2 linked regions of the Drosophila melanogaster genome follow. The protein of the gene in region 1 purifies or fractionates together with the protein of each later gene. This does not show direct contact. Each region holds a gene or a part of one and is shown in the gene's direction. Other genes may lie near its edges.

Evidence for each region. Proteins that work in one complex are often made in the same cells at the same time.
Region 2: the proteins of al (region 1) and CG34132 purify together in Drosophila melanogaster (affinity purification with mass spectrometry, with the first as the bait; 2 studies listed by BioGRID). This does not show direct contact.

The regions. Positions count from the first base shown.
Region 1 is NT_033779.5:376,172-381,781, forward strand, and holds the start of al (aristaless), read left to right. Parts: upstream 1-1,940; 5' UTR 1,941-2,310; intron 2,311-5,610. UniProt on the Drosophila melanogaster protein: Involved in the morphogenesis of proximal and distal pattern elements in a subset of appendages. Also has a role in early imaginal disk development.
Region 2 is NT_033779.5:7,883,298-7,887,320, forward strand, and holds CG34132 (uncharacterized protein), read left to right. Parts: upstream 1-2,205; 5' UTR 2,206-2,351; coding exon 2,352-2,507; intron 2,508-2,579; coding exon 2,580-2,678; 3' UTR 2,679-2,812; downstream 2,813-4,023. Other genes in the region: CG7102 (uncharacterized protein), read right to left, coding at 240-531, 614-1,284, 1,358-1,491, 3,011-3,173, 3,238-3,400, 3,631-3,755; small ribonucleoprotein particle protein SmE, read right to left, coding at 1,762-2,046.

The DNA.
Region 1 (5,610 bases):
CGACATCTGTCCCATGTGCAGGAGTGGATGCAGACCCACAGCCACAGCGCGGAGTCGAAGTCGGGACCGGAAATTCAATTGTTGAGATAATAATTACATTAGGACGTGCGCGCATGCGCGACTCTTTCACTTTAAGCCTCCGTCTCTTTCGCGCTGTGGAGCGATCTGAGCCTGCTTAGAGTGGACCCGAATTGAGTCCGAACGGGGAAGAATGTCCACACGGATGTATTGAGACAGAGGAATACCTAGTACTAGATCCATTTCACCGCTAAATTACGAAATTTCCCTATTCGAATAAACCATCAAATATCCTCTTATAAGCATATATGCTGCGGACTGAATCTGTACATATAAAGACCTGACAATTCTCTAATTTGGATTCCGATTAAAATAAATTAAATGAAGTTCAATTGTGAGGATACCATCTTATTCAAGGGTAAATACATCAAGCCCTTGCTCTTCCCGAACACTGGGTATAATAAGTGCACACCTTGCGCGACGGGCTGATTGACACGGCCACATGGGGACGAGAGATACCGTGCTCGGTACCAGATATTCCCGATCCCGGTCCGAGTTTGCTGTCCATTGAACTCGTCGGACAAATGGTCACTCCTCGTCCGTCGACGGTCGATGGTCGCTGGTCTTTTGTTTGCATTTCGCCCGTAAATGAAGCGTGAAATTGGCAGCAGTGCAGCGGACTCGATCCAACTCCGACTCCAATCCCTATTCCGATCTGCAATGGAACTCGGAGAGCGTCGCATTGTTTACTTCTTGTTAAGGCCCGACAATGGGATAATATGGCCATATAATGGCAACACCAAACTATTTGTATGCAATTGCCATTAACACTTTATTTATTGCCTTGCGATACAAGCAAATTGGGCAGCGAATGATGGTCGAAGGAGGGGGACGCTTCCAGTGCAAAATGCCGCTGGAATGGATCTGTGGATGTATAAGGCCCGCTTATATAAAGCCTAATGAAGTGGTTATCAAGGAATGGAATCTGTTAGGTCTGCTCGGAAATGGCAAGAGCTGGGCTGAGTTCAGTTTTTCATCATGGACGGAAAACATTTTTCCTTGGATTACATTAAATTACGAAGATGGATGTGATAAAAATGATGTGATGTACAAGCCTATGGCTTGTATTTCACGTTGTATCAATCTAAATCAATATTCACTTATTTAAAAACTATCAACGGCTTTTCCAAACATCCTTCATTCAAATTTAACTTGAGTCATCTACATAGCTGGCTCATTGACCTTTTTCTCAAGTTATTGCCCTTCCCCGCATGACACCCCCACTCCGATGGGTAAGCAAAACAGTCTACAGTCCGACAATCATCCAATAAAGCCAACAAAGTCATTAACGAGGCCCTTAACACTACCAAAACGGTCTATATGGCCGGTTCCAAGTCCCCACCCCAATACACGCAACTCTTTTTCCCATATGTCTTGGCTAAATTATTTAATTTATGAGCCGCAACAACTGGCAAATGCATCTATGGCAACCAGAGGAAAACGCGTTGAGCTGGGGGGCAAATAAATTTCCATTTTGCTAATCAAATTTATTGCACTTTGTGCGGGGCTTATTCAATTACGCCCAATCGAAGAGGCGCGAGAGAGAGGGCCATGCGGAGCGACAGAGAGCGGTAGAGAGCAGCTCCGCCATTATTTCGCTCCGTCGAATGCTGCTTTCCCATAGGCCGAACCGCCAGAAAGAGGCGGAGTCCGCCTCCCGGCCACCTGCCGCCTCACCTGCGACACCTGCGACGATCGATCGACATGCTCCGATCGCATCGCTCCCTCTCGCTCTGCGGCACTACGAAACACTAAAAACACTGGGAGGCCAGAAAACCACTCTCGCAACATTGGAAAACAACAACTCCAACCGGTTGTTGTTTCAGACCCACCAGAGTTTTCACCTGCGCGCCAACTGCTCACCGTGTAGTTTGCTGCCGGCTCTGGAACAGCCCGGTCATCTCGTCGCGTTCGGTTCCGATTCCGATTCGAATAGTCGAGCTGGGGATACATTGTTGTTTCCGGGTTAAAGTGCGTACGATTGCGGAAGTGTCGGTATCCTGCGCGTAGTACAAAGTTATACCCATCAAAGGTGTATCGCGATCAAAGTGAACGCTTGGTACTCGGTATCTGGTTGTTGGAAGAAGTGGACAAAAGACCGTCGGCAAAAGTTACTGTTGGTGAGAGCTACAGGGCTTATTAGCCCGGTTAAATAGGAAGAGAGAGATTCAGAAGGCCAAACATTATCAAGACCATCCGTACAATATCTGGCGATTAAGGAGGAGAAGGAAGGTTAGTCTCAGACATTTTATCAAAAATATATGAAACATTCTTTGGACAGAATAGGATTTGTTATATCGAGAGCGTGCATTAAACAGGGAATCCTAGTTACTGTAACTCATAATTTTTTATCACAACCGTAGTCATTGCCTTATATCATATCAAAGATAGGGATTTTCTTAATCAAGCAATTTATATAAATTTTGTTTTAGCCCTAAACTAATCTTGACCCTTTTCCGCCACTTCCGATCCCCAAATCACATAAACTTATTATCACACCTTGCGAATAACCTACTTCTCAGCATGATAGACAAATACTACAAGTATAAGCCATAAATGAATTTCATAATTCACCTGTCTAATCATCCCAATCAATGTGAAGAGGGAAAAATAAAACGTATGACGAGACATAAATATCATTAAATTTGATTAATTTCCCACCTGGACATATCAAATCAGACAAATATCAAGCCAAATCGTATCATCGCTGTAGAATAGAATTTTATTAACTCAATTTTGAGGGTCGAAAGATTTCGCCTTTGCCTTAGCTGATAGTTCGATAAGTTTATCGCTGATTGGTTTTAATTAAACACCATTAAAGAGTACAAATTGTCAGCAGTGCAGTCAGCGCCAATAAATCACGTTTTGTCTAGCTGATGTTTTTCCCTTCTAGAGGTGGTTTTGGTCGAAAGTTGGGGGCATAGTCTTATGCTTGTCCCGTGTACCTACAGAATAAATGAAATTAACCAGCCACACCTATCACCCGCCGATAATCTTGTCAAAAGCCACTGACCACTTAGCTTCGTGACGCGGACGAGGGCCCCGAATATATAGTGAAAATAACACAAATATAGACAGATATGTGGGTCCTGATAAGGCAAAGGAAAACCGGGACCCTCTTTCCTGGTGATAATCGGGCACTTGGCCAACTGATTTAATTAATACTTATAACTCATGTGACTTGTCAGCACAAGTTTAAACGAATTTGTGACGCAAGTTGGTCGCAGTGTATTTGTATCTATGAGGTAGCATCATTCCCAATAGATAATACCGAAAAGATTCGATAAGATTGTCCCGTACAGCGTAAAATTAAAATATGTTCTCCACCGAAATGTAGTTCAATTCAATTACGGCAACATACAATTAAAACTTGTTGCCAGATACCTTAGATACTGTATCTTGTAGATATACACCCGAATTTTTGGCAGCTATCTGAACACGAACTCTGATTTGATTTGATTCGCTGTTGTTCGATTGCTCGACAGCTCCCAATTTGGGGCGCTGTCTTTTGAAGGGATGTCGGTTGATTGTTGATCGTTGATGGCAACACACCCCCCGAGAGAAATCTTCTCCAGCGGGAAGATGGCGCCAGGGCCCTTTGAGATGTGCTTCATTAATTCTTGTCCCCTGCCCCTCGCTAAATGGAACATGCAAACATGAGAAATTAACGTCGTCGTCCACAAATTGCCCACCGTCTGCCTCGGATTCGCTTATCAAACCACACAAGACAATGACAAAGGGCAGGGCGGAACAGTCGAAGATGGAGATGGCGTCGGGCAACAGTTGTCCAATCCCCAGATCCCCGATCCCCGAACACCGATCACCGATCCCCGATCCCCTCCGGTCCCAATTTATAGCTCCTCACTGCGACTGCTGTTCTTAACATGCTTTTTATGAGTAATTGGCCCCGCATCAACATCACCAACACGGGCTAAGCTTGTAGCTACAGCATCGCCATTCACCATCAACAACTTCTTGGTCTTCTGTGTGGGTCTTGAGTTGCTGATCCTGGCTCTGAGTCACAATTTGAACTTGCGTCTACCTTTGGACTACCGTCCCGGCACTCTGATCCATTAGGGTGGACACGGGGTAATTTTTGCTACCTGGGAGCGAATCTCGAATGCCCTTGGAGAGCTCGAAATCCATGTGTCAATACATTTTTACCCAAAAGTTCAAGTACATACAATTTTTATTGTATTTAGCTAATAGATAGTCTCAAATGGGAACGTGTTCTGCCTGTAGACCTAAAACTTTAATGTATACCTTAAATTGTAGACATATTAGGGATTATATAGGATAAGTAGATCAACAACTTAGTTGACCAACTTCATTCACCAGGCGTAGGGGAAGGGTACTAGACCCTTCGTTGCAACTTCGTCTGATAGGCAGTAAATTGAATTAAGATTGTGGAAAAGAACAACAAATGAGGCAGCAACTTCGACACAGGATATGAATAAACTAATTATAATTGGGAGTGTGTGCATTAGAGGTCCATAACGTACACCCCAGAACAAGAGGTACAGAAACAGACGATGATGACGGCGCCTGGCCAACAACAAGAATGCTGCCTTATCGCACCTGGTCCAAAAGACGGCGCCAAGAAACAAACAACCCAACAACTGGAAGGTGAATGGAGGGCTCAGGTGCAGCTTAAATGAGATAAACACTACGGAATTGACTCGACTCGGCCCAGCTCAGCTGCTTGTGATATTAGTTAAAAACATTTCTGGGTGACTTACAAGAGCTGGTCGAAAATAATAATTGGTCTTATCGAACCAAAAGTAAACGACCAAGCTTGGAACGTCGCTGGCCAATCCGTCAACTTCTCCAGGGGACCACCAAGGGACTGGTATCGGGGGCGATCATTGAGCTTTCGCTCGGGGCCAAAAGTTAAGCCACCCAAAATGCTTGCCATTATCGAAGAACCGGAGGCGAAATTACAATGCCGATCATCAAAGTGTGACTAAAGTGGTTTAGCCTAATGTAAACCCATAAATAAGCAGCCCAGATACCGGCCAGACTGGGGACTGGCTGGAAACTGGAGTCTGATCAATAAAGTCTGGAGAGTGGAGGATCGAGACGGAGGCGCATTAACGAAATGCCAGAAAAGAGCTTCTGTTTGCTGTTCTACCTGATGCCGTCCCTCTGGCCCGGCTTTTAATGAAATATGCCAGCCCAACAGTCCCCAGACACCGAGAATCGAGGATCGAGGATTGCACCGGGAAGATCGGGAGCCGAAGGAGCTAAAACACAAAAGTGCAACCATAAAAACGACACCAAACATGAAGGAGCCAACTGAAGGCCCAGCCGAAGTCGCGTCTCTGCGGAGAGGAGCTGCGCAGCTTTGAGTTGTGGAAAGAGCAGCCAGGCAAGGCAGAAACATTGATGCTTATCGAGATGACAGAAGTGACGACAACGGACGCCGGACAGCGGACAGTGGGCAATGGAGTACATCGGATGGACGGTGGACAACCAAATAGATGTAGCTTCATACACTTGTCTCGCATTACGAATTAATTTCTTCATTTGCCA
Region 2 (4,023 bases), 7.5 Mb from region 1:
TTCTTGGCATCAAGATGGAATTCAAGACAGCCGCCAAAAAAAGTTTTCTTTATATAACAATTCATTAATTACCTTTCGATTTCTGGTTTTTACCTTGGGCGGAGTCATGAACCCGACACCTAATGCCATTAGCCCAGCCGTTGCGGATCTGGGATTACAATATTCGAGTGTTTGGATCGTTCAAGGAAATAGTTTTATTGCCAGCATAGCTGATGCAACTACAAGTTGTTTCCCCAATTCTAGTATCTATCGTATTTTGCCTTTGTGGGCACCCCAGGAGCTTGGCCGTTTGTTGAGTGGTTCAGGTTCTGATTATTGCTGTGATTTGCTCCACTATTACTACTTCCTGCCGGCGAGGAAAGGGTATAGACCTCATAGTCGGTGATGGTAAAGTTATAGTCCCCGAAAAGTGTCAGGTGAGCAGCGTTGGTTCCGTCGTAGGAATGCGGAAGATTCGAGTATGAGTCCATGTTTGTATTACAGTTGCTGGAAATGAGCAGATCGGCTCCAGCACCAAAAATGGGACCGCAACTAAAGGGGAAAGCAGACATGGTAATCAGTACGAATTCCTAAACATAATGTAATATATAAGATTATTTTAGACATCACTTACTCAGGATGATAGCAAATGGCATATGGTTTCTTTACAATATCAAACTTGACCGGCTGTTCCCCATTGGCTGGATTCAAGGCAAAGAGGAAGGCTCGCTCGGACTGAACATATCCCCCCTTTCGGCTTGTTTTGGCCCACGCCACATCCGTATAACCACCACTGATCTCTCCATGCGATCCCAAGCCAATAACCATGCAAGGAGCCACGCCGTCGCAATAACGATGAAAGGCTCCAGAATCGTAGCCATGAGTGGACGCTCGGAAAACTAATCTCCAGGATTGCTTGCCCACTCCAACCCAATTATTGAGAACAGTCTGTAGTGCCAGATTGTCATTCTTCAGGATTTGGGATCCGGGAAACATGTTGACCGCTACAGCTAGGCGGGGCTGAAGTCTCTTATCGTTATCCATCATCTTATTGGCATGCAAAGCGGCATAGCGATATCGTTCTAGGGATAGTTCCATAGGTACAGCTCCTGTAGGTTCCACTTCCTCCGCGAAAACTTGGCTATCGATGAGAAGCAGACGCACGTGACCCATTACACCGCTTAAGTGTTGGCAGACACGAGCACGCTCCTCCTCAGTCCAATGTGCAGTGGGTTGGGTGACTCCTGCCTGGTATTTGGCCCAGGATAAAACGCAGCGCCACACTTCCTCCTCTTCCAAGCAGAACTATTGGTAGTTAACAGTTTTGGTAATTAAAGAAATTCAGTAAATTGAGTGGTTATTCATTATAAACTCTTACATAGTCTGAGGAAATAATCTTAATAATGGCATCCTTTGTTAAAGTAAGGAAGGCATTAGTCTTAACGCACTCATTTGCATTTTCCCCTATGTAGATGATGCAGCGTTCCATAAACGAGGCAGCGCATTTGGCACCTGAAATTTAAAGGGAAAGTTTAAAATTAATTCCTTGTTTTTTAAAGACACTCAACGGCTTTTACCTTGAGACAGCATCCTATTCTATATGTCCTGAAATCGGATCGTATTTGCTACCTTACCCATTAGAAACACTTGATTACAGAAAGTCTACCATTTATTTCAACATTCGTCTTCAGATATCGGCTTTACATTTATTTTACTTATATTAAGGGCGTTCAGCGTTTGCAGGTGGAATTCGAAGGATTCGCAGGATGGCCGCTGAGTCGCCTAGTCCTTCGTGGGACTGACGTTCTGTATGAGCGTGATGTTGTCGCCCTTGAGCATGATCCTCCCGAGGTTGCGGCGCTGCCGGGTCTTCACATAGACTTCCTCGGCGTCGTCCAGCACCAGATTCATGTACTCATCGAATCCCACAATGTGGCCCTCGATGCGCAGCGATATGTTCTCGTATAACCAAACTTGCACGCGGGACCGGTTCTGCAGGTAACGGAAGATCAGGTTGATGGGCTGCACCATCACCTTCTGCACCTTGGGATTTCCTTTGAACGACATTTTTGCTGATTTCCGACGACTTAATTTGAGTTAAACAAATTTTCGCTTCTTTTTGCCGGCGTCTTCTTTTCGTCCAGGCGATAGGCAGAAATATCGATGGCACAGCACAGATGGTCACACATAATCGCGGCCTACCGAACTATCGACCAGCCTAAAGATACCAAAATGGTAAATCCTCTGGTAGCATAACCATATCGATAGAAACACTATCACAATCGCACTGTTAAGTTTTTGTGGTTGGGCAGAAGTTGTTGCCATTTATTCATAGCTGAATTAAACTATAGTTTATAAAGAAAACCAAACAAATGGCTATGGCTAATGTGGACAAAGGTGAACTTATGGACCAGGTTAAGCAACAGATTGCTGTTGCGAATGCCCAGGAATTGCTCACGCAAATGACCGAAAAGTGCTTCAAAAAATGTGTCAATAAGCCGGGAACTTCCCTCGATTCGTCCGAACAGGCAAGCTATACATATCTTATTTTGCACTATAGAATATGTATTTAAATAGTATTTCATTAATATCCAATTTAGAAATGCATTTCCATGTGCATGGACCGGTTTATGGACTCGTGGAACCTCATTTCTCGGGTGTACGGCCAAAGAATACAACGTGAACAATCCAAGTTCTAAACACACGAATCGGCTTCTGCATTTTGGAGCAGCTTGGGACTAACTATATCTGCCAGCTATTGATTAGTTGTTATATCTAAAGTTTGATAATGCAATAAAAACATGCATTGCGTGTTACGTGATTCTGATAACACAACGTGCATATGTTTTTTCTTATCGATATGTGATGTGGTACAAAAAATACCAAAACTTTCAGAATGGTTAGTCTCAATACATTTGACATAGCATATTATGTAGAATGTATAAAGTGTTTTGGCGCGAATATGCAACTTCACATAATTGCTTACTTTTAAAGGTGTGATTTTCTAAAAGAGCTACTCAATATTACTAACCTGCTTTTTCGTGTATATCCATAACGGCGGTTAAAAATGTGCAGGCATTATCCACCGACAATGTCGATATAACGTGATCCTCGCAGGCAGTTCGTAGCTCAACCACACCGATATCCTGTGCCAATATCATCATTTGAAATACTTGCGAGTCCTGGAGAACCAACTGAAAAATGAATTTTGGTTATAATTTTATTATGTTAGATGTTACTAATAAGTAGTTTTCTTACCTTTGCGGTGTAAACGTACAAGATGAACTGCCTGAATAGTTCCGGATTCACGTGTGGTAATCGTATGGTGGTCGGAGTTGAAGCTCCTGGGGCTGCTGGCGATACTGTGCATCCGGGAATTCGACACACTTCACCTCTCTTCGCAGTCTTGAAGCTCTTGCACCTGAAATCGAATTGAGTGAATGGAAAGGCAAGACAAATTAATTAAGTGACCAACTGGAATACCCGGGATTCCAGCACGCAACATTGTAAGATTCCGAAAAAGGCAACCGTAGGCAATTATCTTATTCCACAGAGAAAAATTATACAGTTATTGGCATTTATAAGATTTTAAGGTATCACCAAAATTTATTAATCTCTTAAGTATTTGTTTGAAAAAACAATTTAACTTACCGAGCCATTAGCATTAATCTATGGGCATATATGCGCTCATCTCTGCCACAAATGAATACCACATCTGCACTATCCTGATCCTCGGAAAGGCGCTGCAGATCCTCGATCAACTGGGGCAGACTCATGATTGATTTTTATTATTAAGTGCGGTATTCTTGGGCTCAAAAAATTGCAATCATTCGTGCAGAAGTGCACGTGTTGCCTTGTCCCTCTGCAAGCACTGGGTTTTGTTATTATTTTGCGATTGGGTTTGTTTATGTTTTCAACTTGGAAACTCTCTTTATTTCTCTCTTTTAATCGCTGGATTCGTGGGAGCGCAGAAACCGGTTCCTGGCTGAAAATTCTTGGCCGACACCAAGCCACAATCGATTTGGCAAACAATATGGCCTGGGA